Linked DNA regions of Ovis aries. The protein of the gene in region 3 purifies or fractionates together with the protein of the main gene of each other region. This does not show direct contact. Links are inferred from orthologs where the notes say so. Each region holds a gene or a part of one and is shown on either strand. Other genes may lie near its edges. The genes, in order: IKBKG, CD40, TRAF3IP2 and IKBKB.

The links.
Region 1: the proteins of TRAF3IP2 (region 3) and IKBKG purify together in Homo sapiens (affinity purification with western blotting; 3 studies listed by BioGRID, with this or other methods). This does not show direct contact. The link is inferred for Ovis aries from reciprocal best matches to the Homo sapiens genes TRAF3IP2 and IKBKG.
Region 2: the proteins of TRAF3IP2 (region 3) and CD40 purify together in Homo sapiens (affinity purification with western blotting, with the first as the bait; 3 studies listed by BioGRID). This does not show direct contact. The link is inferred for Ovis aries from reciprocal best matches to the Homo sapiens genes TRAF3IP2 and CD40.
Region 4: the proteins of TRAF3IP2 (region 3) and IKBKB purify together in Homo sapiens (affinity purification with western blotting; 3 studies listed by BioGRID, with this or other methods). This does not show direct contact. The link is inferred for Ovis aries from reciprocal best matches to the Homo sapiens genes TRAF3IP2 and IKBKB.

Annotation. Positions count from the first base shown.
Region 1 is NC_056080.1:79,910,666-79,918,220, reverse strand, and holds part of IKBKG (NF-kappa-B essential modulator), read left to right. Parts: exon of another isoform or gene 1-284; intron 285-3,579; 5' UTR 3,580-3,630; coding exon 3,631-3,781; intron 3,782-5,546; coding exon 5,547-5,770; intron 5,771-6,289; exon of another isoform or gene 6,290-6,426; intron 6,427-6,987; exon of another isoform or gene 6,988-7,080; coding exon of another isoform or gene 7,081-7,102; intron 7,103-7,555. UniProt on the Homo sapiens protein: Regulatory subunit of the IKK core complex which phosphorylates inhibitors of NF-kappa-B thus leading to the dissociation of the inhibitor/NF-kappa-B complex and ultimately the degradation of the inhibitor.
Region 2 is NC_056066.1:74,821,225-74,829,398, reverse strand, and holds the start of CD40 (tumor necrosis factor receptor superfamily member 5), read right to left. Parts: upstream 5,261-8,174; 5' UTR 5,243-5,260; coding exon 5,192-5,242; intron 1,806-5,191; coding exon 1,727-1,805; intron 1,403-1,726; coding exon 1,277-1,402; intron 1,007-1,276; coding exon 860-1,006; intron 217-859; coding exon 123-216; intron 1-122.
Region 3 is NC_056061.1:26,132,046-26,140,168, reverse strand, and holds the start of TRAF3IP2 (E3 ubiquitin ligase TRAF3IP2), read right to left. Parts: upstream 4,387-8,123; 5' UTR 4,268-4,386; intron 1-4,267. UniProt on the Homo sapiens protein: E3 ubiquitin ligase that catalyzes 'Lys-63'-linked polyubiquitination of target protein, enhancing protein-protein interaction and cell signaling. Transfers ubiquitin from E2 ubiquitin-conjugating enzyme UBE2V1-UBE2N to substrate protein.
Region 4 is NC_056079.1:36,500,370-36,507,924, reverse strand, and holds the end of IKBKB (inhibitor of nuclear factor kappa-B kinase subunit beta), read right to left. Parts: intron 6,880-7,555; coding exon 6,752-6,879; intron 5,427-6,751; exon of another isoform or gene 5,354-5,426; intron 4,512-5,353; coding exon 4,055-4,511; 3' UTR 3,360-4,054; coding exon of another isoform or gene 3,294-3,359; 3' UTR 1,987-3,293; downstream 1-1,986.

The DNA.
Region 1 (7,555 bases), on a different chromosome or scaffold from region 3:
AAGGGCTACAGCGGAACTCGGACTTTCTCGGAGCGCCGGGGGTCCGAGGAACGCCCGGGGCCCGCCGTTCCCGCCCTTCTCACGTCGGACCGACTGAGCTGACAGGTGTGGCCCTCTTCTGAAGACAGGGTACCATCGGTGGGCGTTCTGCCGCCTCCGAAATCCCCTCCCCGGATGACCAGGCTTCCCCCTCCTGTTCGGTCCAGCCGGGTTCTGCTGCGCACTTCCAGAGCACCGGCGGAGGCAGGCCGATTGAGGACTCAGGTTACTTTGGCGGCGAGCGGGTTTGTTTCCGCCTCTCTTTCCTCCGCCAGCGCCGAGTCTGACCACACCCCTAGTTTGTGAATGACTCTTCTAGGTCGGAGACATTTTCTGTTCATCATCTGTGCATTTCAGGTTAAAGTTCTTTAAGAAGGCGTTAAATATGACTTGCCAGCTAAGTATCTCACCTCATGTGCATCATTTTGCTTCTTTGCAAAACGATGAATGTCTCCTGGACCTCGTATCATTTCTGTGACTTGAGGATGAATGGGCCATCCTGACATGTTAGAGGAACTCAGTAACGAAGCCGCTATACCTGGAGTAGAGTGAGCGAGGGAATGCTTAGAGTGGGAGCCGGTTTGATTCCTGGGTCGGGAAGATCCGCTGGAGAAGGGATAGGCTACCCACTCAAGTATTCTTGGGCTTCCCTGGTGGCTCAGCTGGTAAAGAATCCGCTTGCAATGTGGGAGACCTGGGTTCGATCCTTGGGTTGGGAAGATCCCCTGGAGAAGGGAAAGGCTACCCACTCCAGTATTCTGGCCTGGAGAATTCCATGGACTGTACAGTCCATGGGGTCGCAAAGATTTGGACACAGCTGAGCGAGTTTCACTTTAATGGGAGAACAGATAGGGCACGGCCTTGTAGGTAGTGGTAGGGACTTTAGGTTTTAAGCTATCGGCAATGAGGAACCATGGTAGGGATCCCAGCAGAGGAGGGATGTGATCAGAATCACCTTTCAGGCTGACTGGTCTGGCGCGGTGGGGAGAACTGACTATGGGGGCGGCACGTGTAGGAGCCGGGTGACTTTTAGGAGGTTATTACAATAATTACCTGAATAGTGATGTTGCTCTTATCATTTTATTGTGTAAAATTTCAAAGGCATAGAAAAGTATAATAGTCTAGTAAATTCAATGTACTCACTTCCCAGCTTCAACAGTTACCAACTCGTGGATATTTTTAATTCATACTCCTCAAAAACAGCTTCGTTGACATATAATTCACATACCTCGCAAATCACCCATTTAAAGTATACAGTTCACTGGTTTTTCAGTGCATTCACAGACTTGCACAACTATCACCATTAATTCCAGAACATTTTCATCACTCCAAAAAGAGACCCCATGAACTTCAGCCATCACTCTCACCACCCCATCTACCCCTGCTCTAAGCATCCACTAGTCTTTCTGTCTATGTATTTACCTATTCTGGACATTTCATGTAAATGGAGTCATAATATGTGGTCTTTTGTGAGTTGTTTCTTTTTATTAACATAATGTTGCAGCATGGGAATGTACTAGATTTTGTCTATTCATCAGTTGATAAACATCTGGGTCATTTTCACTGTGGCTGTTTGGAGTAATGCTGCTACCAACATTCCTGTGCAGACATGAGTTTTCATTTCTTTCAGGTAGATACCTAGCAGTTCACCCATTATTTAGAACCAAGTCCCAGACGCCATGTGATTTCTTTCAATAAAAGTTCCATGTGGATCTCTAAGAAATGACTTTGAAAGAAACATAGCCACACCAGCACTGTCACATGTAAAATAGTACCATTACCTGCTAAGTGTCATCAAATAGATTCTAAGATACATCTTGACAGGATTTCCTGATGAATCCGACGTGAGCTGTGAGACAGATGGGAATCAAGAAAGACTTGAAGGTTTTGTCCTGCCAGCTAGAGCATGGGTTAGCCATCTATTGGTAACAAGGAAGGCCATGAATGGAACTGGCCTCTGGGGATGATCAGGAGTGTAGTTTACCGAGGTTAGTTTTGAAAGGATGACTGGATATCCAAGTGGAGATCTGGCATTTGATGTGTGAGTTGGGCGTTCAGGAAAGAGTTCTGATTTGGGGCATCATTAGCATTAAGATGAGGGCTACAGTTTTGAGTCTGGATGGAATTAGTACTGGAGTGACTGAAATTAGAGAAAAAGTCCCAGAACAGAGCCCTAGGGCATGACCACATGAAGGGCTGGGTTAATGAGGATGGACCAATGAAAGCCTGAGAGAGAGCAGCCAGTGAGGTAGGTGGGAAACCAGTAGAGTGGGCTGTTCTGGAATCAGGGATCAGTGATCCATTAGATACTGCTAATGGGTTAGTAGGGTGTTCAGTGAAGCATCAGTGTAATAGTGAAATGTCCAAGCTCGTCTGGTGTTCAAGCCTCTGGCTGCAGCTCAGGCCCTACTGGAAACTTCTTTTGTGATTAGCTTCCTCTTCATGTAGCCAGTCTTGGGCAGGCCTTAAAAGGGCTCCAGGTTGATGCTGTCTGGCGTAGACTCCCTCTCTCTACTCCAGGTCACAAGAGAACACAAATGGCTCAGCCTTTCTCTGCCTCCCTGCCTTCATCTGTGAGCCCAGGCCCTGCTTTCAGATGTCTCAGTACACGTCAAACGTGGGATGATCCACTTTAGCCCTTCTGTTCCAAAGAACACTCACCAGGCTCTGAGTGATCTCTGTGAAGACCCTCTTACTTGGTGTATGGATTTCCTAGGGTTGCTGTAAGAGATAGCCACAAGTGGGGGCGGGGGTTTAAAACAACGGAAGTTTATCCTTTCCTGGCTCTGGAGACCAACAGCCTGAGGTCAAGGTGTTGGTAAGGCTGTGCTTCCTTCGAGGGCTCCAGGGCAGGGTCCTCTGGGCTTTGTCCAGCTTGTGGGGGCTTCAGGTGTCCCTGGGCTTGTGACCACATCCCTCCTGTCTCTGCCTGTATTTTCATGTGGCATCTCCTCTGTGTCTCTCCTCTTCTGTGTCTCATAAGGACACTTTTAGGGCCTTTCTCATCCAGGATTATCTTATCTCCAGATCCTTGATTTTATCGCATCTGCAAAGATCCTTTTCCGCAGTTTACAGTCACAGGTTCTGGGTGTCATAAGGTATTTAATAAGGTATGTCACATGGACATACCTTATTGGGGGTTATCATTCAACTCACTGTACTACGTGAGGGGCCACTCACCTCCACTCATGCTTGGAAGTGTGTGTGTGTAGGGTAGGATTCCCAGCATACCGACACATCCCTCCAAAACTAATTTTCTATGTTATTTCTCCTCTCTGGTGATGTTCTTAACTTCAGCTTACAGTTTACAAGCAGTGCTGAACCATGACCTTTCCAAGCCCCACAGAAGTGCCTGCACCTCCCTTAGGAATGGGACTATGTGCTACCTCTTAGACCAGAAAGCCCATGTTAGCATCTCTTTCCACTTGCCAGCATGCTCATCATTTTGCTTGAAGTGTGATGCCAGGACTCCTCGTCCTGCAGGGTAGGAGAATTCTGTATAGGTCTCTTCATATCCTACCCTTGCTAACTCTCTTTCAGGCCCTGACGTGTTGGATGAGCAGGCCCCCCTGAAAGAGTCCACTGTGTGAGATGGTGCAGCCGAGTGGTGGCCCGGCAGGGGACCAGGACATGCTAGGTGAAGAGTCTTCTCTGGGGAAGCCAGCCATGCTCCACATGCCTTCAGAGCAGGGCACCCCTGAGACCTTCCAGCGCTGTCTGGAGGAGAATCAAGAGCTCCGAGGTGAGGGCAACAGTGGGCGGGCAGCGTCAAATGTCTGGGGAGCAGGCCCTGCTGGGGGAATTGACCCCACTTACCCAGTGCCTCTGCGTTTTCTGGGACTGAGGTGGGCAGGCGCTCGAGAGCCAGTTTGTGGCTCTGGGTCAGCTAGCCTCCTTCCTTCATTTCCTGTGGGGTTCTCTGGAAGTGACTCACAGCTACAGAGTGCCATCCAGAATGTTTAGAGTCAGGACCAACACTGGGGAGGGGAGGGGATGGGAAGGGAAGGGCAGGGCAGTGAAGAAGAAGGGGTGGGCAGAGGGAGAAGCTGGGCTGCCCTCCCTCCAAGGAGCTCTGGAGCTGAGGTGACCTTTTTGGGTTGTCCCTGTCGGGCCAAGGCCGCCAGGCTCCTGTGTCTCCGTACTGATCAGCCATTGTTGTCATTCAGTCACTCAGTCGTGTGTCTGACTCTCTGTGACCCCATGGACAGAAGCATCAAACAATATACTGGAAAGGGGCGTGGCTACCCGAGGAAGGGCGTGGCTATTTAAGGGGCGTGGCCTGCTCCAGAAAGGGGTGTAGTCTGCTCTGGGCTAGGCTGGGGCTTCCTAGGAAGGGCCCGTGGGTGGCTTTGGGGAAGGGACATCTGGGCCACTGTGGGTGGACTGTCAATCGTCCCCCCTCCAGGTAAGACAACCAACAATATCCCCCAGGTGTCGTTAAATATGTTTCTGTGTTGGGGCCACATTGAGCTGGCAGCCAAGTTTGGGGCAGGGAGACAGTTCGCTCTCCACAGCTACATATGTGGTCTGAGCTCATCCCCAGGACAGTGGGGGCTGGTGGGGGCACCGTGGGCCTGAGGCAGAAAGCCCTGTCTCAGATCAGTCGCTCCCTTGTAGGGCTGGAGTCTTATGGGGACTGTGGTACGTAAAAGGAGGCTCTGGAGCCAGGCTCAGGAGCCATTGTGGTTCTAGCGAAAGAATGTTCCATCAGAAGGCCTATTTAGCTCATTGGGGGTTCTGAACAGAGAGGGGGCCTCCTCTAATCTAGTTCTGTGGTGGTTAGCACCTTCACAGGCCATGGATCCGTTTTGTCAGTACCAGTGGTGAGCTGCTGCTTGGCGGTGTCCCTGGGTGGGTGGCTCTCCTTTCCTCAGCCCTTGCTGACTGCCTGGGAAGAGGAGGACAAAGTGGTTCTTGAAGCTGTCTTGTGTACCAGGCACTTTGGCTGCTTTTCCATGTTACCCGTCCTGTCTCTGAGATGGGGATGCTTGTCCCCATTGAACGTGTACAAGAGGATGGTGAGGCTCAGAGAACTCGCCTGCTCCGAGACTTCTGGCCCTGCCCCCAAGACCCCCCTCAGTCTGGGGCCAGCAGAGCTCGGGGAAGTTTGCCCCCAGTCTGATCCTGAAGGCAGTGACCCAGGGGCCTGCTCTGACCCATGCAGAAGGCAGATGAGTTCCAGAGTCACTTACAAAGAACAAATAAACTGACATTTGACATTTTTTTTTTTTTTTTGGCCACACTGTGCGGCTTGTGGGACCTCAGTTCCCTGACCAGGAATTGAACCCGGGCCAGGGCAGTGAAAGCACTGGGTCCCAACCACGAGGCCACTAGGGACTCCCTGACATGTGTTTTTAAGTGAAGCTTTTGTGGACACTGGGGGTATGTCATTCGCGTAGCTGACTTTGAAAGTGATCGGCGAAACGAGGGAGTGTTGGGAAGACGTCCCAGTGGGGGAGTCCTCGGGGCGGTGGGGGGCCGCAGGCCCTGGGCTCATCTGGCCCCAGCTATCTCTGCAGACGCCATCCGCCAGAGCAACCAGATGCTGCGCGAGCGCTGTGAGGAGCTGCAGCGTTTCCAGGGCAACCAGAGGGAGGAGAAGGCCTTCCTCATGCAGAAGTTCCAGGAGGCCCGGGACTTGGTGGCGAGGCTGAGCCTAGAGAAGCGCGAACTGCGCCAGCAGAGGGAGCAGGCCCTACAGGAGGTGGAACGCCTGAAGACATGCCAGCAGGTAAGGACCTGGCTGCCTGCTTGGGGGCACCGGGGTGGGGGGCTCCCGGAGTTGGGGAAAGCTGTTGTCCTCCCAGTTACGGCATTAGGATGAGCAGCTGGCTGGGATATGGGTTGAAATCAGTAAAGATAAAGGAACGGAGGGCAAGTCCAGGAGAGACGGAGCCATGCATGAGAGTGTGCCCTCTGGGGACTTGTAGGGGTGGTCATTCCCGGAGGCCTGGGGCGCCTGTATGGCTCCCCTTAGGTACTTGATTTCTGGGTCCCAGAGATCAAGCTGGTACATGTGGCCCAGGGCCTGGCCAGAAATCACGCTGCTGGCAGTATAGACAGCCTGGTGGGGGCCCTTGGGGAGTGTCTCAGGTTTCCGGGGCTGCTGTAACAGAGTACCACAAACAGGGTAGTTGGAAGCCACAGAAATGTGTGGTCTGCCAGTCATGGAGGCTGGAAGTCCATGATCCAGGCGTGGACAGGGTTGGTTCCTTCTGAGGGCAGGATCTGGTCCAAGTCTGTCTCCTAGCCTCAGGTACCTGCTGGGAGGACTCTGTTCCGTGGTTTGCAAACACACTGTCACGTGGCCTTCTCCCCTCGTGTCTGGGCATCTTTCCTCATCTTATGAAGACACAAGTGTCAAAGAGCAGTTCATCCGGCCTTTAGGTAAAGGGGTAGGAACCGGTTTTGTTTGGTAACCACGGTCAGCAGACGAAAGCACCAGGCACCCTTCTGATTGGCATAGGGGTGCCGGTGATTTGAAGGGAGAGTGAGGTGGGGTCAGCGACAGGGTCTCGAGTGAAAACCCATGGTGGGTTGGTCAGGGTCAATGTGGTGAGGTCAGCAGCGTCCGTCCCCGGGGTCAGTTCTTGGATGTTACGATTCCATCCTACTCAGAGATGGGTAGACTCAGGCCCTGTCTTTCCTGAGGATCCCATTTCAAAGGAATGACTCTCAGGTCCCCGAGAAAGCCTCTCCTGGGTTGTTGGAGGTACACGGACATCTCAAAGGGCCAGAGCAGGGGTTCACATGTGGGGAGCCTTCTTAGGAAAGACTTGGAGAAAGGGGGGGTGCTCAGTCAAATGTTGGCTGGAGCAAACTACATTCTCTTGCTAGCCCTGTTTTCTCAGATGGGGACTCAAAAGGGAGCTGGGTCGGCCCAGGGTCCTGACCTTAGGCTGCAAGAAGTCACAGTAGAGCTTGCTCAATTGTCCGAGTCTTTTGTAGTTTTCAGGAGTCACTGGATCAGAGGCCTGCTCTCTTCCAGTGTGACCTCATCTTCACACCATTACATCTGCAGTGACCGTGTCTCTAGGTCAGATGCCATTGACATATACTGCAGGTTAGTTCAGTCACTCAGTTGTTTCCGACTCTATGCAACCACATGGACTGCAGCATGCCAGGCCTCCCTGTCCATTACCAACTCCCAGAGTTTACTCAAAACTCATGTCCATTGAGTTAGTGATGCCATCCAACCATCTCTTCCTCTGTCATCCCCTTCTCCTTCCATCTTCAATCTTTCCCAGCATCAGGGTCTTTTCCAGTGAGTCAGCTCTTCGTATCAGGTGGCCAAAGGATTGGAGTTTCAGCTTCAACATCAGTCCTTGCAATGAACATTCAGGACTGATTTCCTTTAAGCTGGACTCATTGGATCTCCTTCCAGTCCAAGGGACTCTCAAGAGTCTTCTCCAACATCATAGTTCAAAAGCATCAATTCTTTGGTGCTCAGGTTAGGCCTAACTGTGGGTTAGGCCGTGGCCATACCACTTTGGGGCCACCAGTAAAGCCACTACCA
Region 2 (8,174 bases), on a different chromosome or scaffold from region 3:
TAGAGGTGTGTGAGTGTGTGTGGACATGGGGAGCGGGGACCGAAGGACTGGTGGCCAGAGAGAAGGGAAGCGGGTCCCATGCCCCTTTTCGGGCAGGAAACACAAGGGATGAGTCCTTATACCTTGTCCAAGGGTGACACTTTTCAAAAGCAGATGACACATTGGAGAAGAAGCCAACCGGGCAGGGTTCACAGATGGTATCCAAAACCCCTGTAGCTGAGGGGGAAGAGGAGGCATTAATCATTACAGTGGAGCCCCTGTCTGGCTGTTAGAGGGACCGGTGGGCAGGCAGGACCAGATGAGTATCCTGCTTCAAAGCACTTCTCCCCACAGCACACACCTTCCCTTGGGGCAGGCGGCCCCTAACGAGGCCTCCCCCATGGCCCTCCCGAGGCTGATGCCCATGGTGGGAGGCAGAAGGCGAAGATTCCATTTCCAACCCACTATTGTGGAGATACGGAGAAGGCAGTGGCACCCCGCTCCAGTACTCTTGCCTGGAAAATCCCACGGGTGGAGGAGCCTGGTGGGCTGCAGTCCATGGGGTTGCAAAGAGTCTGACACAACTGAGCGACTTCACTTTCACTTTTCACTTTCATGCATTGGAGAAGGAAATGGCAACCCACTCCAGTGTTCTTGCCTGGAGAATCCCAGGGACGGTGGAGCCTGGTGGGCTGCCATCTATGGCGTCGCACAGAGTCGGACATGACTGAAGCGACTTAGCAGCAGCAGCATGGTGGAGATATCAACGTAGGCTGGTCTCTCCACCTCTGGGGCAGAGTGACCGCTGCCCAGCCCCTCTCCTTGGGCCCTTGCCTCCTCTCTCCTGCCTCTAAAGCTGATTCCCAGACAGGCCACTTACCGATCTGCTTGACCCCGAAGCCAGGGAGACACAAGCTGTGGGGCGTACAACTTTCGCAGGTGTGACTGGTACAGTGTTGGCCTTCATCACATACGCAAGTGGTGTCTGTATTCAAGGTGCCCTCGCTCTGGATCCGGAGCCCTAGGTCTGTGCAGAGACAGGAAGGAAGGATGGGAACCCCTTACCGGCCTTGATCCAGGGGCCCCTGATCTTCATATTTCCTGTTCTTTTGTTTTAGACCCTCTTCCTAGCAGGGACGGCAATCAAATTAGGCAACAACCAAGACAACCCAGACTCTAACCAATCAGAACAGACCCTGGCTATTAAAATTTAAAAAGCCAGGATGGCTGTACTGTCAGGAATGAGCTGGACTGTCAGCCTGACTCCCAAGGGCCCCTTCCCCCGCAGCCCACGCACTGGGGTTGCAGTATCTGTGCTCGTGACAGTATTTTTCTCTGTTCCAGGTGGACAGGAATTCGCCTTTACCGCAGGACTGGCATTCTGTTTTGCTGACCTCTGTGCAGTCGTTCAGCAGTTTCTGTCCTGGAAAACATCCGGAAATGAGGGTGCTCCAGGCCACCCAATGAGTCAGACACTTAACTGAAAAGTGGTAAGGCTGGGCTTTAGGGAGGGGGCTGCAAAGAGGGCAGTCCCAGACCCTTCCAGCCTTCATACTCGGGTATAGGACGCAGAAGAGATAGGAACCCTAGTTCTGGGTTGGCAGAAAGGAAGCTCAGAACATCCTGGGGCAGGGACAGGGAATCCCAGGGGTCATTTAAGACACAAGCTTATCGTTGACACATGAGATCTGCATGTGCCAGCAGACCAAGACAGGTCCCACGTGGGGCTAGAGGGTCGGCGTCTCACCCGGCGGGCACAAATCACAGCAAAGACTGTTCACTGGGTATTGCTTCTCTCCGCAGGCAGTGGCTGGTTCTGGGTGGACCTAAAAAAAGAATTGGGTGATTTGAAGGGATCTTGAAATCTCAGATGTAGCCTCCTCGGCAGACAGGTGCAAATCGGCCAGGACAGAGGTTAGAACCAAAGTGGAAGTACAAAGCAGAAAAACGGGGCCTGTGTGTTATATGTTACATTTGTTTTTATCTAAACTGCCAACTAGTATGATGACAAAGGTACCCAGAGAATCACTCTGATATTTTACAAAGTAATTGCACTGTTAACTCACAGTATTCATTGCACTAAACACATCTTCCTTTTGGCTTGAGGGCTGAGTCTTTCCTCTCCCCAGCAACCCAAGAGCACATGAGGACTCCAGCATCTACCCTGGAGTCCTGAAGCTGGCTGACTCCAGCTGGTCCTAGCCCAAATAGGGGCTATATTTAGCATCTGGCCTCTTCCTTCTATTCTTTTGCTCCCCACCCTCTTCCCCTCTCCGAGCCTCGTCATGTTTTCTCCCTTCAGCCTCTCATCATCTGATCATCCAACCCCTCCGTCACGAAATACAGGATGGAGCAGCTGGAAGCATAAAATCCAACTCTTTCACTTCACACGTGGTGAGACTGGGGACCAGAAAGGCCGATTCACTTGCCCAAGGTCACACAGTGATAGAATCCGAATGAGAACTCGGGTCTCAATACTCCCTCTCTCCATCAGCGTGGGTCTCCTGTATTATTGTCACTACATCCAGGTACCACCCATGCTATTCATCACTTCTTGTTCATTTAAATACATTTATTTTCAAGGTAAACCTCATAGCATTGCCATGAGAGCAAAACTAGTATCACTTCTCATAAATAAAAGGCAACCCTAAAAATAAATTCAGCAGAAACAAAACAATGTCATTAAGCCATAGCTGATTGCTTTGCTTACTGACAGCCCTCTACCCCAGGCCTGCTCCTGATTTTTGTTTTAAAAGGAGGATTAGAAGGCATTTGAGAGGTATTAACTATATTCTAGCTCCAGCGACTTCCTTCTTGAAAAATGAAAAGGATTTTAAATAGAACTGCAAAGTGAATCTATGTTGTTAATTCTACATCTGCATGGGGTTGCAGAAGAGTTGACATGACTTAGCAACTTCACAACAGCAACCGCATGCTCTCTAAAATCATCTCACACTTTGGGAACAGCCAGTGAAAAGAACAGTTTTAAGGGTCAAACAGCTTAAAGCTCCAGTCTTGACTTTGTAACACTTAACTAATTGTTTTGCCTCTCTTATCCTCAGTTTCTACAACTCTAAAATGGGAGAAATAATGCCTGCCCCACAGATTAGGACTTCCTAGGTGGCCCCAGTGGTTAAGAACCCGCCTTCCAATACAGGAGACATAAGAGACATGGGTTTGATCCCTGGGTCAGGAAGACCCTCTGGAGGAGGATATGGCAGCTCACTCCAGTTTTCTTGCCTGGAGAATCCCATGGACAGAGCCCTGGCAGGCTACAATCCATGGTGTCACAAGAGTTGACTGAAGCAATTTAGAATGCACGCATGCACAGATTAGGTTGTGAAGACGAGAAAGAATGGATAAATATGGCCTGGTATAGTGTCCAGAACATAGGAGTTGCTCATTAAATGGCACTTTTAATTATCATACATACATAAGTATCTGCTGGGTTGCCCAGCACCCTGGCTACCAGGAACCTGCCTAATTGGTAGTTCTCATTCAACTTGGGGCGGGGGGGGGGGCAGGGGGGGGCGCGTGAATCACTTACAGAAGTGCGTCTTATCCCAAGCAGGGAAGGAAAGAGCAAAGGTTACTGCTCCCGCCATCACATCACAACACACCATCCTGTGAACGTTCTCCCCACAAGCCCATGGACCTTCCCCCCACACTCCCAGGGCAGCAAAAGTCCTCTATGCCATTTTCAAACATACGAGACATATAGCCCCTCCTCTGAAAATGCGTCAAATCCCCAGTTCCCACTTCACAGTTTCAACCCTTCTGACATGTGGTAGCTCAGGACCAAGGCTTGGAGACTCTCACCATCTGAGAGGCTGGCTCAGAAATCAGGCAGATGTACATTTATTGGCAGGTTCCACCTAGCTAAGTGGATTGGGGCAAGCCATTTTCTCTCTCTGAGCCTCAGTTTGCTCATCTGTATAATGGGGGAGTTGGAAGAAATCAGACCAAGAATGCACGTAAAGTATTTTGCTCAGAGCCTGACACACAGGAAGCTCTCAGTAAACAGCCTCAGATATTGTTGTCACAGCCTAGTCTCCACCTGGAGCTAAAATTGGGACTTTGCTCTTGAGAAGCCCAGACCACCTTTTACCCTATCCCCGCTGGCTTTTCCTCCACTTCTCCTCCAAGAGCCCCCTTCCTGCCCCCTTTCTCCCTAAGAGCCATTGCTTACAGTGAAAATGAAAGTGCTGGGGCCAGAGTAGCTTCCCCACAGCATCTCTCCCCTTGCTGCTGACCCCCTACTTCATGGGTCATTCCTGCCCTGCCTTCATGTCAGAAAGTACAGCCCTTGAAAGTTAGGGGGAGACCAGAGGGGTGGGGATGACAGTGTCAGGTACTTGGGGGATTCCCAGCCTCCAGAATGAGGAACTACAAAAAATACATTTAAACTAGAAGCGAGTCAAGTGTGGAACTCTGAAAATCCCGGAGATATGCTTGGTTGGGCATATCTTAGCCCTTCTGGCACCTGGAGAAACCTCTGCTGGTCTCCCAGCCCTTTCATGGTCCCATGAACTGTTCAGGTCCCCCAAGAGTCCCCTATGTCACCTTAAATTCAGGAGGCAGGGTCACAGCCTTGGGTATTCCTCCTATGTTGGGGGTAGGGGAAGATCACCAGGATTTGGTTCTGGAGTGGGAACGTTAAAAGCTCCTTGCCTTCTCAGAGAAGCACCTGGGCCACTGCCCTCATCCCATGCTCCCGCAAGATGTCCTGGAAGAAGGCCACCCCAGCTGGCAAGGAGGTGATAACCACTCACAGAGGCTGGCATTTATCCACAATGGGAAAGAGACAGGAAACCGGCCAAACCCGCCCCTTCCCTTGGCTGGCCTCCCTTCTCACTTCTGAAACCCCTCACCGTCTCTTTCGGGCCAGCCTTCGAGGCAGACCCAGACTCCAGTTCTTTGACCAGATAAAGGCTTAAAGCTGCCGAAACCCCCAACCTCATCTGCCTAGGCGTTTCCTGCGGCGACCCCACTAGGCGCCCTCTGTGGGCCACCTGGGACCCCCACCCCTGCCCGGGAGGAGAGAGAAACAGCCCATCTCATTCAGCCATGACCCCGGTACCCTACCCAGCTTCCACACCCCCACCGCAAAATCAGCTCAGAAGGTCCCCTGCCCGAAGTATCGCTTCTTTTCCCATTCCCTACTCTCTAATCTCAAATTCCCGCCTCTGGTCGGAACGGAATTTCAACTTACGGCGGTCAGAAAGAAGCCCCAGCAGAGACACTGCAGTGGCAAACGAACCATGGCGAGGTGAGAAACGGCGGCGGGAGGAGAGCGCGCCGGGACTTAGGCGCTTCCAGTTCCCCTGTCCTGGCCCGGGGGCCCGCCCAGGAAAGAAGCGGGGTCTTCGGGGACCAATCGCAGCCAGCCTCGCTGGCGGAGGGGCGGAGCTCCCGGAGACACACCTCCCTGGGATTTCCCCCAGGACATTCCCGGGGAGTCTAATTCCCCAAGGAGTTTAGGGACGCACTTTGGGGAAGGAAGCGGGGAGAAAGGGGGAAAGGGTCGTTCCAAGGAGAGCTCTTCATGGGAACCCCCCCCTCCCCGCGCCCCCTAGGACTACAAAGGCCGAACAGGAGAGAGGCAGCCGCTTTCTGGGGATGGGGATGAGGAGTTGGGAGAGAGGCGAAGGGAGTGGAGAGAGATCCCTATGGGTGTTAAGACTCCTCCACCCCGCCCGGTTCTTCCCCGCCGCCTCCGGCAATCCCAGCGGAACCGAAAGTGTCGAACGCCGCGGATGGAGAGGCCTAAAGAAGTTCCCAGAAAACGGGAAGGCCACGGCTGGGTGGTGGAAGGAGGTTTGGAGGGGGCGGGGGGGCTTTCAAGGAAAAGAGTTTCCCAACTTACAGTTTCGCTCTCTTTCAAAGGAAATTCCCTCGCGTGGGCGCCGCGTCCCAGCGCGCTCCCTGCCTCATCCCATTCATCCATCCATCCATCCACCCATCCATCCGTGCGTGCTGTCCCCACCAGACTCTGTTCCATTCCAGTTCCTTTCCTTTCCGCCACCTGAAAACAGGCGCTTAGACTAGACCACTCTTTCTTGGGGTCGCAGGACCCCTTGAGAATCTTTGGAGACTGGAGACCCCCTAGTTCTGCAGAAGCACACGTCCTTGTAGCAATTATTTCCCCAGTTCAGACCCTCCAAGCCTTTCTTGAACTCTGCTCTGCAGCAGGGAACACCTGGGTTGTGGCCTAGGCTCTGCTTCTGATGGGCTGGGTGTCCTTGAGCCTCGATGTGCTTCAATAAAACCTAAGGAGCTTGAACTAGAGGGTGTTTGGGGTGATGACTCTCCAAGCTCTGAGTTTCTGGGCAGGGTCAAAAGGTCAAACTGCACAGATCAGAGAGGAAGGGAGAGGGCTGCTAACCCCATTCTCCTGGCTTCTGCTGCAAAGGGCACATTTGCAGACCTGTAGATTTTACCTTCAGAATCCATCCCCTCTCTTCTATCCCCTCTGCCACTGCTTTAATTCAGAGGCTCACCATCTTTCACCTGGGCTGTCACAACAGCCTCACTCATTCAATTAAGTATTTGTTGAGTCTCTGCTATGTTCCAGGTAACTCTGAGCCCAGCTCCCCCACCCCCTCCACCCACCTCCACCCACCCACTGCCCCCCCACTTACCCCCCCCCCTCCCCATCCAACCAGTCCATTCTAAAGGAAATCAGTCCTGGGTGTTCTTTGGAAGGAATGATGCTAAAGCTGAAGCTCCAGTACTTTGGCCACCTCATGCGAAGAGCTGACTCATTGGAAAAGACTCTGATGCTGGAAGGGATTGGGAGCAGGAGGAGAAGGGGACAACAGAGGATGAGATGCCTGGATGGCATCACTGACTCGATGGACATGAATCTGAGTGAACTCTGGGAGTTGGTGATGGACAGGGAGGCCTGGCGTGCTGCGATTCATGGGGTCGCAAAGAGTCAGACACGACTGAGCGACTGAACTGAGACCCTGTTGTTGTTCAGTCACTGAGTCTTGTCCAACTATCTGCAAGCCCATGGACTGTAGCACACCAGGTTCCTCTGTCCTCCACTATCTTCCAGAGTTTGCTCAAATTCATGTCCATTAAGTCGGTGATACTATCTGATCATCTCATCCTCTGTCACCCCTTCTCCTTTCGCCTTCAGTCTTTCCCAAGTCAGAGTCTTTTCCAGAGTCGGCTTTTCACATCAAGTGGCCAAAGTACTGGAGCTTCAGCTTCAGCATCAATCCTTCCAATATATGTTCAGGGTTGATTTCATTTAGTATTGACTGGTTTGATCTCCTTCCTGAACAAGGGAGTCTCATCTGAGGATGGTCCAAACTCTCTTCTGGCTCAGCTGAGTCTCCATTCAGCCCCACCCTCTGTTCCCACACTCACACCCTGCCGTGTCCTACCATGCATGCTGGCTTCAAGCATCCTCGCCTTTTCTTCACTTTCCAAAAGCACAGTTGTTTCTTTCTTCTGTCTTGCTGTTTTCTTCCTTCTCCTTCCTCGAATGAGTTTAAATTTTACCTTCTCTTTAGATAAACCTCCTCTAAACTCCCCGAGACAGAAGTGGATACTGCACCCCACCTTTGCCCCTGCTCCCAGGTTCCCACAGCAGTAACATGCTGGATTCTTACCCCATATGCCTGGCCCCATTTGATGATGAGCTCATTGAGGGCAGGACTGAATCTGTCCCAGTCCTGGGCACCAACACATTTGCTGAATGAATAAATAAGTGAGTAGGTTCGATAACTTCTTATTCTAAGCACAGTCTCCGTCAGAAAGGAGGTATAGAGCTGATAGTTTCAACACAGACCTCAAGTTGATACCTGTAGTCCCAGAACACTTGAAACCAGAGACCAGGGAATTTCATGAAAGTCACACAAGCATGCCTGGAATAGAGACAACATTAAAATATCTTTTCCCTTTTTAACCCACATTGGAAAACACAAGCACCATTTTCATTCCTAGGGGGGCGGTGTAGGGGGGCGTTACTATAATAACTTAAGCCATCACTTATTCTTTATTTGCTTGATTCTAAAATTGGGCCCTTCACAAAACTGCCTTGGGAAGCAAGTACACAGAATTAAACATTAATTATATTATATAAAACATATCATAGCAGCAATTAAAGCAGCTTAAATTAATGTGTGAAAGAATAAATAGTAGCCTCCGGGTGGCCCCATGGGGCGAAGACCAGATGAGATAAA
Region 3 (8,123 bases):
ATGATCAAGTCTTGCTATTACCAACTGCTTGGATTTTTTTTTTAAAGCATTCTTTGGGTCAACCATAGGGTTGAAAGGCCCTAGAGACACATAGCATGAATATTTTGGGGGGATATATTAATAAATATATAAATTTACAGCTAGGAAGAGCCTCAGATCCAATTTGGATCAGATCTTTGCAATCACAGATTCTCAAGGTCTTACTTCATTCTCCAGGGAGTAATTTTTTTTTTATAAGTGTCTGAAAGTTCTGGATTAAAAAAAAAAAAAAAAACAAAACTTTAAACTCGTTAACATTCTTCATTTACTACCCAAATGCATGCAAACTTTCCCAACGTCAGTTGGCTTAGTGGAAGTTAGTTTTGAGTGAACTGTGTGGCTCAGGTTCAAATTCCAGTGAGTAAATATTTCCAAGTTTACTTGCAGAATTTCCCAGACAGAGAAGTTCTTCCACTTGGTTTGCCAGAGAACTGGAAGCAGTGGTGAGCCCTGGAGATGAGGGAGCGTTTACTGGCCCTTGTAGGTGTCCTGCACAGTACAGCTCACAGCAGGCTGAAGGCAGTGCAGCGTGACCCGACCTGATTACAAGTTCGCCCTGGAACTCCTCTGAGCTGCTTAACTGGCTGACGGGGCTAGTGGAATGGACTGACTCCACCATGCTGGAAGCTGGTAAAAACCGTTTAGAGAACAACCTCAAACCAGCCCATGGGTTCTTTTGTTTGTTTGTTTCAGATACGGTTTCTCTAAACACACATTTGTGATTCTTAATTCAGTCCAGACCCCAGAGTGAAGGAGAAGAAAGTGCAGAAAGGAAAAAATCTGGAGAGGGAGAAGAAGGGATGGAAAGGAGGAAAGGAAAATGGAAGAGAAGCCAGAAGAGTGGGAAACTCTGAAGGAAAAGTTAAACAAATTTGTCCTTTATTGGTAGAGGACAAAGGCTCACTTAAATTGTGATTTTGACGTGTTGCTGGGTAAGACAGGGGGCAGCTGGAAGGGGAGGGAGAGAACGAGTGCAGGTAAATGGCAAGAGTGTTGGAGGGGAGCTGCTGAGCCTGGAAGAGTCGGGCCAACAGCACAGAGGAGGAAGGGTGATGGGAGGCAGACCTGGGAACCCCGCCTGGGAGAGGAAGAAGGAAAAACACTGGAACCGTTAGTGGAGGAAACAGGGAGGTGGGAAAAGCCAAGTTCCCATCATCACTGAAGGAGCTGCCCAGACCTCAGCCAGCCTGGGTCTTCAGGGTGAAGGAAGGGCGTCATGAGGGCTGGGGCTCCCTTCGGTCCCAAGCGACTTGATCTCAGCTGCCTTGTCAGGAAATCACTCCAGACTGGCGCAGCTTCGCAGGTCACCAGGGGGATGAAAGCTCACCTTCCTCCCACAGCCAGTTTATAGCTTCAAGTCTCCAGGAAGTTCTGTGTGTATACACACATACACACACACATGCACACAAACACGCTTGCATACACACACGCACAGAGGCACAGAGCGAGCTTAACTCTCAGGCATCGACGCACATGTGGGTGAGCAGGAGGCCTGCTGGGCAAGAGACGCAAAGAATGCCGAATGTCTGAGGGAGAGGGACAGCCTGGGCTTCATGAACTAAAAATACCTTGGTGACAATGCACTAGGAGAAACATAAGGGGCCCGGGGGAGAGCTGCTTGACTCTGATCCTCAGATGCTTTCTCACGGAAGGACTGCAGGGTTGTTTTGATAAGGAAATATGATCAAACATTAGGGGTCATTTCATTGGATCTGAAAGGAATTTAAAGTTTAATATGCCTCATCTGTATGCTCTTTTTTTCCCATGCAGCAGTTGCCTGCAATTCATATGTGTTTTGAAAGGCTAATCGAAAATTGTCTGTCGTGGAAAAATGATTCGAATTCAGGATATTTCCAAGATTTCAACTCTTCAAAACATAGACTTAATTTAGGCAAACTACGCTCATAGCTGATCTTTCTGAGTGCCTGCAACTATGATTCTGAATTTCTGCAGTTATGACTGCCTTCTTATTTTCAGAGCATTTGGAAGTCACTAGCTCCTTAATTTTGAGAAGCAGGCTTAAATATTTTCCATCTTTGAACCCTCCCAAAGTGAGTATCCTGAGTTAACAGTTTTCTCCCCAACACGCCCAGACTTCACGCTTAGTCAGCTCACCCCAAGCACCGAGCGAAGCAGGGGCCGCTCCATCACAAATGACACAAGATGAAGAATGTCTGTGGGTGGTCTTTCTGGGTCAAAGCTTGGCTGGCAGCAAACTACAGTTGGCTTGATTTCAGATAATGGTGCATGTTATTTGAAAATAAAAATCAGTAACGCATCACAGGTGAAACATCTTGAAATTCCTGTCCTCTCATCCCAGGATGAGAGAGATAGCTATCTGAAAGCATGATGAGGACCATAGCAGGGCCTTCATATTCCACAGAAACAGCTGAGCAAAACCAAAAGCCCTGAGTCGGCCCATCCCACTCAGCCAGGGCCTGTGTGAACTGTATGGAGGGAGAGAATTAGCTCAAAAGAAACAATGATTTTTTTTTTTTTTAAACAAAGTAGTGGTTTGGAAAAGGTTAAGAATTCAGGGTGTTTACCATCTAATAATGTGTCTGATCCTAGTCATCACCCTTACATGGTATCAGGATGTGCCTCACAGCTTCCTTTCACCTCCCATTAAAGGCCCCACACAAAGTGACTGGTCTAGCCAAGGAGTCATTTCCAGCTCCAGCTAAGTCAGTAACACAGCCTTTTGGAGCCAGGCCTGTGTGCCAGCTCTCTGGCGCTGCCTGGACTCTGTGGGCAAGTGCACAGGCCATTTCTTCCTGGGTAACCCAAATGGGACATAAACTAATTCAAGAAACCCCCTGTGTTCTATTTAACTTGAGTCAAAAATTATATCTAAATTCCAGGCAGCTCTCCCACACAGCCATGCGGCTGCCCAGTACCCTCCTCTACCCACCCCCAGCCTTTCACCCAGGCTAAGGCTTCACCTTTTATAGATGAGTGAAACGAATCAGAGCAGTTTATGTGGAAGAAACCTGAGCGCCCCTGAGGTGTCTGATAGTATTCTGAGTGCTAGAGGGTAAAGAAGGATTAAGTCCTTTTCCTCCAGGGACTATCTAGTAGGATAGGTAAGATTAATATATTTGAATCATCAGTAAAAAAAAAACACATATCTTCTGAGACCGCCCACTATGGCTGCCCCTCTGGGATTTTCATCACCGACGCCTTATTTTCTTAGAAGTGAATTTCAACATAATCTTAGCTCACCACCCCCATCCACATTTTACTGATGAAGAAATCCAGGCCTGAGTCAAAAAAAAAAAAGAAGTAAATTGCCTAAGTCACAGAGTTGCAATGGCAACCCACTCCAGTACTCTTGCCTGGAGAATCCCAGGGAGCCTGGTGGGCTGCCGCCTATGGGGTCGCACAGAGTGGGTCGCGACTGAAACGACTTAGCAGCAGCAGCAGCACAGAGTCAGCAAGCAGAGGAGGGAGAATCTGAAACCAAGTTTCAGGTCCTCTGTTTTTATTATTTCTTTCCCTGTTCATTTAAAAATATCCCCCTATACTAAGAGACCATCTTGAACTTGACAGTCACATGAAGCTTGATAAGCTTCTAAGAGCAAATAATAGCATTTCTCTCCCTGTTTTTTCCTAAAGGCTCAGGCCGGCTGTCTGTGCCAGCAAATGCCTGGGCGGTGTGGGAGGGTGGAGGGCTGGGGCAGAGGGGCTGGCAGAGCCATGGCCAGCACGGAACAGGGCTGGACTTCCTGGCTCAAGAACAGGGTGTTGGTTTTTTCCCCTGAGTGAAAGAGGGATCAAGAAAACTCGGGAGTTCTCCTTCCACCTCTGCCACTGATGCATCGTGGGGCTGGAAGCCAAACTCTTCATTTTTTATTTCCCCGGCTCCCTCCCTGGAGAAGGGGGGTGAGGGAGGGAGAGGGGGGGACGTCTTCTTCATCAAAACTCGTGGGGACACTAAGTCCTCAAACACAGGGGTGTGTGTGTGGGTGTAGATGTCTATTCCTCAAAGAGTTAATCTTCGCTCTCCTGTCTGAAATACTAAACCACTGGCCCTGTCTCACAGCCGACACGTAGCTGTCATGTTCTAAGCCGGAGCTGTCTCTCTGTACACGAACCAACAAATGAAAGGTGGGGAGAGGCAGGCGGAGGAAAGTGAGACGGCACTTTCGGTAAAGGAGAAAACATTGTTTTGGAAAATGGATCAGAAGTTAAGAAGTAAGGTTGGTCAGGTGACAACTGAAGCACTTACCTTAGAGCTGCCAAGGACAGACAGACCGGTGGTCACGCTCTCTCCTTCTCGGGGCCTCTCTACCTTGGGTTGCTCCAGGCCTCCCTGCACCCTCTCCCGGCCCAGGTAAGCCGTGGAACAGGCTCCGAAGCAGGAAGTGGAAGCTGTATGCAAATTTCTACCGAGGCTAGGAAGCCTCTGCTCAAAAATCTCCCTGTGGGCAGTGAATCAACAGCCGCTGAGAAGTCACTTTACTTCTTAAAACAGAAACCTTCATTCACTAGAAAAGGCCACTAGCCAATTAGGCTGCTCTTTTTTTTTTTTTCCCCATCACCCAGCTAAGTAACTGCTGAGGAATGTTCCCTGAACCTCAGGGTTGTCGAAGCACCCAGGCCTGAGACGATGCCCGGGGAGGGTTGGTAAGATGGGTTACTCATTAGCAGCTCCCGAGCAGGAAACGGGTGGGGCAGATCGTGGGGAGGAGTATGGAGCAAAACTTCTTACTGTCTCTAACTGTATTTACTGCTCTTAATCACAAAGGGGGGACTCACTGCCCATTCCCCGCCCCCACCCCAACCACCCCAACACACACATTCCTTACCCCATCCACAGGCATGAAAAAGTGACTATTTTTAAGAAAACACACACACACACAGTCTTCCTCTGGCTGCATTTTTCATGTCCTCGAGTTCATTTCTTCATCTTTCCTTCTTGTTTAATCGGTGCCTACAGAATTTGTTGCTGAGGGAGACCCTAGAAACAGGAAGACCAGGATGGCAGACCGTAATGAGAGCTGTGGCGGCCAGCGGTGGCCAGGGTGTGAGCTCAGTTACCCTCTAGCCAGCTGGGTGTGGGCAGGTGGACTATGCTCCAGCTGCTCTGCGTGGCTGGTTGAGTCCTGAGGGTCAGCCCATTACCCTGGTCATCTCGCTTTTGCCAATAGATATGACAGATAAATACATGTATGTGTATCTATATACATTTATTCACTGTTGTTTCTAACACTTATCACTGTGCCCAGAACCTAGTAGGCAAGCACGACATAACTGCCAAATGACCAAAAAAAATGACAGAAATGTCTGGAAGAAGGCATATCAAACTATTAAGTAGTGATCGCCTCCAGGAAAGAGGGTTGAGGGAATGGGTGAGAATGGAAGGCTTTTATCCTAGTCATTGCATAAAATATGTATACTATACATATATTGGGGGCTTCCCTGGTGGCTCAGTGGTAAAAAAGTGGTTAAAAGAAAAAAGTGGTAAAAAAGCTGAGATGAAGGAGACACTAGAGTTGCAGTTTCGATCCCTGGGTGGGGAAGAGCCTCTGGAAGAGGAAACAGCAACCCACTCCAGTACTCTTGCCTGGAAAATTCCGTGGACAGAGGAGCCTGGTGGGCTACAGTGCATGGAGTCACAAAGAGTCAGACATGACTGAGCATACAAACACCAACATGTCTATATTAGATTCCTGTCCCCACAAGGGCGTGGTACTTCATTCATTAAAAAAAAAAAAAGATTTAAAAATTGCACTTCTTACCTTGGCCTTGAGTTTTCTCCCTCAAAATTATATTATAGGCTTTTTTTAGTTTAGGGGAAAATAGTGCTTTTTTGTATGGAGCTGTTGGTACCAGGATACTTTGAAAAAGCTATCACTATTAGGAGATGAGAATAGAAAAGAGTGACAAAAGGAGAAAAAAAAGAGGGAGAGCAAAGAAAGGGTGGGGTGAAGACAGTTTTCATTTCTTTTAGATGCCTTTAAATGGATTGGGAAAAGCCCAGAAGACGCTCCTGTCAACTACTGCCTTTGGAGTACAGCCCATCAGGAAGAACAAGAGGAATCTTTTTTTCTAGTTCTCCCACCAACCGTTTCCCCAGATGTGAACCTAAGGGCCCTGCAGGGAGATACCAAGCACTGCAGGGCTGCTCATAATTGCTGGTGGCTGGGCCTTCCTCTGGGTCAGTTTATCCTGAGCAGAACAGCAGCACTTGAGGAAGGAGTTAACGGTTCCTACTTAGGAGCCCTTGCTGGGATCCCACTGAACAGCAGCCTGCGGATGTGAACAGTTTAGAGAGGAGGTCCTGAACACTAGAAACTGCTGTCTGAATATGCCTGTGACAGTTAGTCAAATATGGATGTCAGGGGAAATGTCAGGGAGCGCCTGGGAAATGAACACCTCCAGCCCTGCAGGAGACCCTGCTGGTGTTCTCCGGCTGATACACACAGCCCTTTGGCTGCCCCCACAGAAGAGGAACTCTTCACCCAGGAACTACCATACAGTACTTGTTAGTGTATTTAGTCCTCCAAAAAGTCTTGGAGATGAATTTACTCCTGTCATTCCCACTTGACCTTTAAGGAATCTGGAGCTCGAGACAGAGTCACTTCTAAGGTCACATAGCTAGTCTGTGGAGAAGAATTCCAGAACTGTCTCACTTCCAGTAGGTGGATATTACCTCCCCTTCCTCGGTCGCCCTGCTGAAGTCTGCCCTTCCTATGTGTTTGGGTGGAGCACACAGAACTTGCTTTCTTTGCACAACTCTTGACAATTTAAGAGAGGGGGGATAAAGGTGTAAGTAATAAAAGGATGGATCTGAAACTGTGCCAGTTAGCATGGTGCTGTGTTTATGCAATGCCGGCTGCTGTATACACAGTAGCAGAATACTCAGGAGGCAGACCAGCCTTCTTGTTCTGGTCCAGGAGGCAGGATAGGTGTTTGCCAGGCTCTAGAGTCTCTCTGTATTCTTGCATAATTAGATAAAGGCCAGCTCTTCCCACCTTTGTAAACAAAACCATTTAGACCTAATGCTCTGGACTCACTATACTATGGTTTTAACCCACGAAAAGAGAGGCAAAGATGAAAAGATTCATTCCTTGGACAAACCTTTTCCATCTTTAAACGCTATGATTTTAAGTGCTGAAAAGGCAGAGTGAAACTCTGACGCACCACGAGGAAGAGAAGAAAACTCCTGTCCTCCAGTCCCACAGGATGGTCCTCACTCACAGAGTCCCCAGCACTGGGGACTCTCCCCACAACTTGGTTCCAGGACTGAGGCAAGAAGAGAAGAGACGTCCTGGGTCCCAGGGCCTGGTCCCGCCTGCCCTTCTGGCTTACTCCAGTCCCACAGTCTTTAGTGAGTACTTGCCTCATTCTGGACATGCGCTGGGTGCTAGGCTCACAAGCTGAAAGATTCTCAGGTTCTTGTGTCTCTTTCAGAAGCAAAGAACTATGGAAACACAGGGAGGTCCAAACAAACTAGCCACCAGACATGGCTGTCGAGTCACTGGTTACCTCTTCTCCACTGCTTCTAGTTCAGAGGGGCTGCCAGAGGCAGGCGGAAGCCAGAACTCCTCACGGTCTTCCTCCCCGCCCCCTGCTGAGCCCCTGGGCCCTGCCCCACCAGCCCTGGGGGCCCTTCTTCTCAGAGAGCTGCCCTCTACAACCGCTTCAGATTCTGTCAGCTGATTCAGTCAGAAACTCACAAATCTAGCCTAGAGGTCCTGTTAGTAACAGACTCTCATGAGGAAAGGATTCGCTCTCACTCCTTTTCTTTTTAAGAGATTCCTTGAGGACTTCCCTGGTGGGCCAGTGGTTAAGACTCTGTGCGTCAGGGAACTAAGATGTCACATGCTGTGCGGCAAAAAAAAAAAAAAAAAAAAAGAGGTTCCTTGAGCCTTGTGTAGATTTGTTCATCTCCTCCTATGAAGGGTATAACCTGCAAAACTCTGTCATTCCATTTCCCCGATGCGATGGTATGAATGCACCTTACATTTACATCCTTAAAAGGGAACACTTTAAAGTTCTGGAAAAGCCAAAGATGATCTGCTTCAAGGTGGCTTTCCTCAAAGTGGTCACCTGGACCCAAAGTTGTTGGCATCATCTCT
Region 4 (7,555 bases), on a different chromosome or scaffold from region 3:
GTATTGAATACTGTCCTGAGATTTTCTGCATCAATTGATATGATCATGTGATATTTCTTTAGCCTCTGTGTGATCACACTGATGGATTTCCAAATATTGAACCAGCTTCATATCCATGAAAAAACCCACACTTGGTCATGGGTTATAACACTGCTGATTTTTCATTATTATTCTGTTAAGGATTTTTGCATCTTTATGTGTTTTCATTTTCTATTCTGTTTTTGTCTACTTTGGTACCATGCTAATGCCTTCATAAAATGAATTGGGAGGTAGGTATATTTCCTCCAAATTCTATTTTCTGGAAGAGATAGTGCAGAGTAAGTGTTTTTTCACTGGTAGAACTTTCCAATGTAACCATTCGGGCCAGAGGTCTTTTTCAGAGGTTTTTAAATTATAAATTCAATATATTTCATAGCTATATTGCTATTCATATTATTTCAAATTTGATGAGTTGTGGTAGATTGTTTTTCAAGTAATTGGTTCATTTATTCTGTTATATTTATACGCATAGTTGTTCATAGTATTCCTGCACTATTCTTTTGGTATCTGCAACATCAGTAATTTCATCGTTTCATTCCTGATATCGATCATTTGTGTCTTCCGTCTTTTTACGTATCAAAGAATCAGCTCATTTATTGATCATATTGTTTTCCTATTTGTCAATGTCTTTGATTTCTGCTCTGATCTTTATTGCTCTGTTCATTCTGCTTGCTTTTATTTTGCTCTTCTCTTTTCTAAGTCATTCTTGACACCATGAATTTTGGGGAGGGGCTATATGGGTTCAATGGTGGCCCCCAGGAAGAAATGTCCACATCCCAATCCCCAGAATCTATAAATATTGCCTTATATTGCAAAACGTAAGATAAGGGTCTTGGAAAGAGACATGTATCCTTATCCAGATCAGCCTTGAATTTGATCACAAGGCACATCTGATTTTCTAAAAGGCACATAGGAGAGATATGAGAGACAGAGAAATGATGGCAATACGACCACAGAGGCAGAGAAGCGGCCACAAGTCAAGGGTCTCCTGGGTTCACCAGAAGCTGGAGGAAGCAAGGAACAGAATGACCCCTAGAGACTTTGGAGGACTTGATTTCAGGCTTCCAGCCTCCAGACCTGTGAGAATAGACGTCTGTTAAGCCATGGAGTTTGTGGTGATTTGTTACAGCAGACCTAGGAGCCTAACAGCTGGAGAGCAGCGTCTCCGCTGGTGTTACTGGCTGGTGCTCCCAGCCCCCGCCAGGGATGCAGGGGGTGAGAGGAATCCCCAGGGAACACACCACGTGCCACCACTCAGGGCCAAGGTCCCCGCTGCTCTGCATCCTTCTCACTACCTTTCAGAATCTTCTTCGTTTATAAATAACGTCCAAGGGTCTCAGCTGAACTAGGAGGTGGGGAGGTGCGTCTGCTCCACTTTCTGGAAGTCCAACCTCCAGGGTCTTCATTTTTTCAACCTATTAGCATTTTCCAGTTATATTACTCTTTTATCATTTTTTAATTTAAAATGTTCTATTTATTTATTTGGCTGCATCGGGTCTTAGTTGCTGTTGCTGAATCTTTCCCTGCAGTCTCTCCAGTTGTGGTGTGTGGGCTTAGCTGCCCCCTGGCATGCGGGATCTTAGTTCCTCGACCAGGGATCGAACTCATGTCTCCTGCATTGGAAGGCGGATTCCACTGCATCACCAGGGAAGTCCCTATGTTACTCTTTTGAAGCATGAACTTTGGTGATTCTTTACTCAAAATTCTTCAGTGACTTCCAACTGCCATTAAAATCGGCCCCTGATTCTTAGCTCAACATTCATTCCCTCCCTAATCTGACCCCACCTCAGCCTACCATTCGGGTCTAAATTCCCACTGTGTTCCTCACCAGTGTTTTCTATATCATGCTTTATCACTCTCCAGTTCTTTGGGCTGTTCATCAATGTTACATGCACACGAGAGAAAAATAAAAGGTATCATTGTCAAGCAAGTTGGGGAAACAGCGGATTTAGGCAGAATTAAACCAGTTTATTATCACGGGAGAAGGAAATGGCAACCCACTCCAGTACTCTTGCCTGGGAAATCCCATGGACGGAGGAGCGTACTAGTCCATGGGGTCCCAAAGAGTCAGACACAAATGAGGGACTTCACTTCACTTCATTATCACGGGACTTTCCATCCTTCAGTACACCAGTGCACAATGTGAATTTCTAAGAGGCACTTAAAGCATGAACCGTTGTTGCCCAAACTTCCTGTACATGGAACCCACAGAACCGCCTCCACGAAAGGCATTCTGTGAAACTCTTCTCGTCCGGCTTTCTTCTCCAACCAAACTTGCCTGCCTGGGATCATCCGAGCTCACCGTGCTGTCCCTCTGTTATACAGAGAAGCTTTTGTGAGACAGCAGAGAAGCAGCGCGGGCCCTGGCACCGTTCAATTTCATCAAATGTTCCATTGCAGCTGGGTTTTTGAGTGTGTTAAGTCCTAACCAGAGGTATTATAAAAATAGACAGTGGGATCTGAGTCATGTTGCAAAATAGAGAATCTGTTTTTTAAATACATTCACTAAATAATACCGCGAGAGGATACGAGGGGCGGGACCTCCCCCACACCCCCCACAGCCGCACACGGGGCAGGGCTGTGGGCACAGGGGGTCAACAGGCTCATGAGTGACAGACATCCTTTCCGTCTTTCCTTCTTCTCCAAGGCAGCTCGCTCCCAGGGACTCTTTGGGACACGCAGGAAGGGAGATGCTTTTCCCTCCTGGCTCCAGTCACGCTGGCTGGAAGGACCGCAGCCTGGCTGCAGATCGCAGGTGGAAGGACAAACGTTAGCAGCAGTGAGATCAGAGGAGAAAGGAGGATGGGACAGGGCAGGATCCGGGGTTTGGAGGTCTGCTCAAGAGAAGCCGAATCCAGAAACTCGAGCTACGCAGACAGACCTCCTCTGGAGAGCAGGAGGGGTCAGGAGGAGACAGCTGGCACCGAGCGCCGCTCAGACTTCGTCCTGGGAGTCAGTCGGGTGTGGCCGCTGAGCCTGGAGCACTCCTCTCCCCTCGCAGGGGCAGTGGCGGCCCTGGAGACATCTCCTACACGCCGCCCCCCGGCATCCACGTCCACTGGGCCTCTGCAGCAGAGGAAATCCAGCGAGCAGACGAGCTGCTGGCTGTGCCCACGGAGGGCCATGCCTTCAGTCCAGAGCGACCGTCATGGCTGCTGGAGGAGCGTGATCTCTGTCTGGGTGCCAAGGACGCCGGGCGCGATGACGCTGGGGCCTTGGGCAAGGCAGCCCACTGGGGCCAGGGCCGCCCACCATCACGAGGCCCGCTCCAGTCCCTGCTGTTCCTCCTCCTCCGACTGCAACCAGCTCCAGTCTAGAGACTGAAAGTCAATGGGCTCATTAACAACCCTGTGGCCACCCAGGTACCTGGTTTTCTTCTTTGGGAGGCAACCAGCATGATTTAGAAGGAAGGCTAGAGCCTTTCATTGACAGTCGAGTTTCTGCAAGGGACCCCAGAGCTGGAGCTATGTCTTCAAGACCGTGCAGGAGCTTATCTTCAGATGGGCGTGGAGCCCCTGGCCCCTGGAGAGCCCCTGGAGACTCTGGCCAAGCGATTTAAGTGTGATTCCTGCAGCTCACAGCACTGACCTATGCTCACTGAACACCCAGGTGCCCAGGGCTCGTCTTAGTTCTCCAGCTCCAGGCTAACCAGGTGGAACCGCCTGGCCAGACTTCCTTTCCCTCTGGCAGAAGCACATAGGCAGTGCAAGGGTCGAAACATACAGGGCCCAGAGGAGGAAGAGTACCAAGGAGGAGACACGGAAAGCCCCAAACAGCAGGATGGCACTTGAAGAAATAAGAGGTGATTACCATTGGCAGTGACCCCTCCGATCCTTCCCCAAACCGAGAAGTTTCGGCAACGCTAGTGCGGGACTGTATTGGAGGAAATGGCCATTAAAAGACCCAAGCGAACAATTAAGCATCCTCTCAGAAAGTTCAGCTTTGCCTCGATGTCTCTGCACCTGGACTCATTTTTCTTTAGATCAGCTTCCCTAGAGCTGGGCTTGCTGAGTCCCTAAGCTCCGAGTCCCTGAGAGATGGGGTGGTGACAGCTTTGTCCCTGGAGCCCAGCACCGCACCTCTCACACGCATGCCCAGCAACTGCACAGAAGGGAAGAGCGGGAGAGAGGCCTTCTCCCAGGGATGCTACCGGCCTCATAAGGACCAAGCACAGTGAGGATGAGAGGAGACAGAGCACGTAAGGTACCTGTGCTCGTTCAACAGTCGTCAGCCCTGTTATCATGATGAATATGAAGGTTGTACCAGAAAATCCCAAGTGTACACTGAGATCAAGGCGGCAGGGCGTCGCCTCTCTCTCAGCTTCTCGTTTGCTGCAGAAAAGAAAAGGTGTGGAGCAGCGGGGCTCCCCGTGGGCCATTACCCTCAAACTCTGGTCCTGCTCCTTCATGGTGTCCTGCAGGGCGTTCTCCAGCTGGGTGCACAGGGTGTGAGCTTCAGCCACCAGGTCGTCACTAAAGAAAACGACTGGATTATTAGAACGTGGTCAGTGTGAACTTTTCAAAAGAAATATATTACTATGTACAAGTATGCTAAAGGGCTTCTGGAAAGATTTTAAAAATTGAACGATTATTCTGATACTGAGTGTCTTAAAATATATGACACTGCCTCGGCAATTTTCATCTGTTCTTCTTGAGCACTGTTATGGAAGCTCAAACCCAGCCGTGAGCATCGCCATTCACAACATGAGAAAGCAGAGGTCTGGCCTAATAAAAAAGTTCAGAGCCAAAGGGATTTCTTAGGCTCTCTCTAAACTGCCACAATCTGAAAATCTCTCCCAGATCACCTGTTTCACAGTTCTTGAAACTGATAAAGGTATACAGACCGCGAGAATTCCCCAGGTGTCCTCAGCTCTCAGACTGGGAGCAGCGTGTTCTAGGAACTAATTCATCTGCTGCACTCTCGCCTTTCCTATGAGAAATGCACACGTCCCACCTTCTCTACGATAAGAAATGCACACGTCCCGAGAACAGGCCGTGGCTGAGAAAGGCGAGAGCAAAGCAAGCCATCTGTCTTGTTCTAACCTCAGCTCCAGGACGTGGGCAGACAGATGGCAACCTGAGCCCCCAGGACGCCTTTCCTAGAGCGGGGACAAACCCAACAGGAAGGGCCCCGCAGTTCCTCCTCTCACCGCAAAGGGGGCGCTAGTGGGAGGAGCAGAGCCCAGACTCATCCACTGCCTGGCCACTGCCCAGGCACCAGGCTCTGGGCTGGCCCCAGAGCCCCGGACCCGGTTACCACCCTCAAGGAGCTAACTGGAAGTTGGGGAGAGAATTAAGAATCCAACACGGAGAATTCTCTGGTGGTCCAGTGGTTAGGATTCTGCACTTTCACTGCCGAGGGCCCAGGTTCAGTCCCTGCTCAGGGAAATACATTCTGCAAGCCAAGAGGCCAAAAGAGAAATAGAAAAAAAAAAACCCACAACAATAGAGAATACAAACTCCCCAAGTACAGGAACAGGACTTCTTGAAAACAGCTTTACTGAGATATATTCACAAACCATAAAGTTCACCCGTGTAAGGTGCACGACCACACGCTTCTGGTGCACTTACAGCGTCGTGCAACCATCGCAGAGGTCTGGTCCTCGACCGTTTCATCACCCAAGGGGAAACCCTGTACCCGCTGTCAGTCACTGCTCTCCCTCAGCAACCAGGTCTCCTCTCTAGTCTGTAGACCTGCCCTTGGGAATCAGTCTTCACCGTCTCCAGCGCCTGGGGCCCAGCAAGGGAAGGCCCTGAAGAATGGGTGTGAGGCTGAGCCAGAAACAAAAAGCCGCACGGGTGTCTCGGGAACAGAGATCTGTGCGTGTGTGTCTGGGCCGTGGAGGGGGTGGGAGGCAGGGCCAGGGCGGAGGGAAGACACCCCAGGGAGGGCGTCAGCAGAGCCAAGGACCCGGGGCGCCAGGATGCAGGGGGGTCGGCCCGGCCTGGTTACCCGGGGTTGCCGATCCCGAACCTGCATGTCCAGTGAGAGCCCAGAACCCACTGATGCTGTTGGTCTGGACCGGGCTCCAAGACCCTCGGGCAGAGCCAGGAGCTGCCTGGGAGTGGGGGTGAGCCTGGAGAGGACGCTTGGAGGCTGGGAAAGGCTCAGCCTTGGCCCCGAGGCAGCTGGCTGCCATGGCTGGTCCCTGAGTATCCAGGAGAATAACTCGATCAAAACAGTCTCCCATGAAGACGGATTTGACCAGAGGGGGCCTGGGGGCAGCACTAGGCTGGAAGCAGAGAGGGAAAACCTCATGGGAAGGGCTCTGAGGCTGCACTCTCAGCTCTGCAGCAGGGGCGTGCGCAACAGGCAGGGCGGCGAGGGGTGAGCGGGGGGTGGGGGGAGGAGGGACCACAGGACGGACCGGCAATGTGTGACTGGGGCGCGGTGGCCAGAGGACACCCTCAGGGACCTGCTTCTGTGAGCAGATAGCAGGGGATGGATGAGGGGACAGCACAGGGCTGGCCAGCACTGGACGGAAGGCTCCCATCCAGCAAGAGCAACTCGGCCTCAGATAAGGACACCTGGCTGGGCAGGCCACAAGCAGTGCTGTGAGCAACACACCACATCCACGCCCACGGTGCCCGGCACGGGGGACAGATACCAAGGGGCGTGCATGGCGCCGCCACCAGGAGACCCGTGCTTCCACGCCCACGACCTCCTGACGCGCCCCGGACTTCAGCACTGGACACCGCGGATGAGGACTCACCTCTTCTCGGCAGCCTCGGGCAAGCTGTCAGGAGCCGCGCAGGGCTGCGACATCAGCTGGCTGGGGTGACTCAGGCGGGAGGCGTTCATGCTGTCCGGGCTCCCGCTGACGGGACCCCGGACCTTGCTCTAGAGGGCAAAACCAGAACGAGAGTCAGCGGTCTAGGGGCAGAGGGATGACTGAGACTCTGCTTCCGCGGCAGGGTGTTTTCTCATGAAGACACCTGGCCACGAGACACATGCTCTTCCTGCAGAAATCAGGCAACATCGCCGTCTGATGCTTTGCGTTTCAGCTTAGAAACTGCTTCTGATCTGCAGGTGTAACTTTCTGATTGAGGGTTCTAAACAGAGAGATCTGAGGGTTCTCTCTCTTTTTTTTTAATCAACCATTGGCCATTTAATTTTAAATTTTGGGGGTTCTAAATACAGAGAAATTTAAGGGTTCTATTTCTTTTTTTTTTTCATCAACCACTGGCCATTAATTTTGTGTTTTTTGGCTCTGCAGGCTCTTGATTGCAGTTACAGGCTTCTCTCGTTGTGGCAGGAGGGCTTAGTTGCCCTGTGGCATGTGGGATCTTAGTTTCCTGACCAGTGAACAAACCCTCGTCCCGTGCTGGAAGGTGGATTCTTTACCACTGGACCACCAGGGAAGGCCCTAAGGCTTCTATCTCATTAGTTGGATTGCTCAACAAACCCTTACAAGGAAACGAGAAGGAAGGTGTGTTTAATCTTCCCAAGAAGAGAAACACAAGAAGGTCCTAGGTGACTTCCCGTGACTTGCGCCACCTGGGGAGCAGAAGAGGCC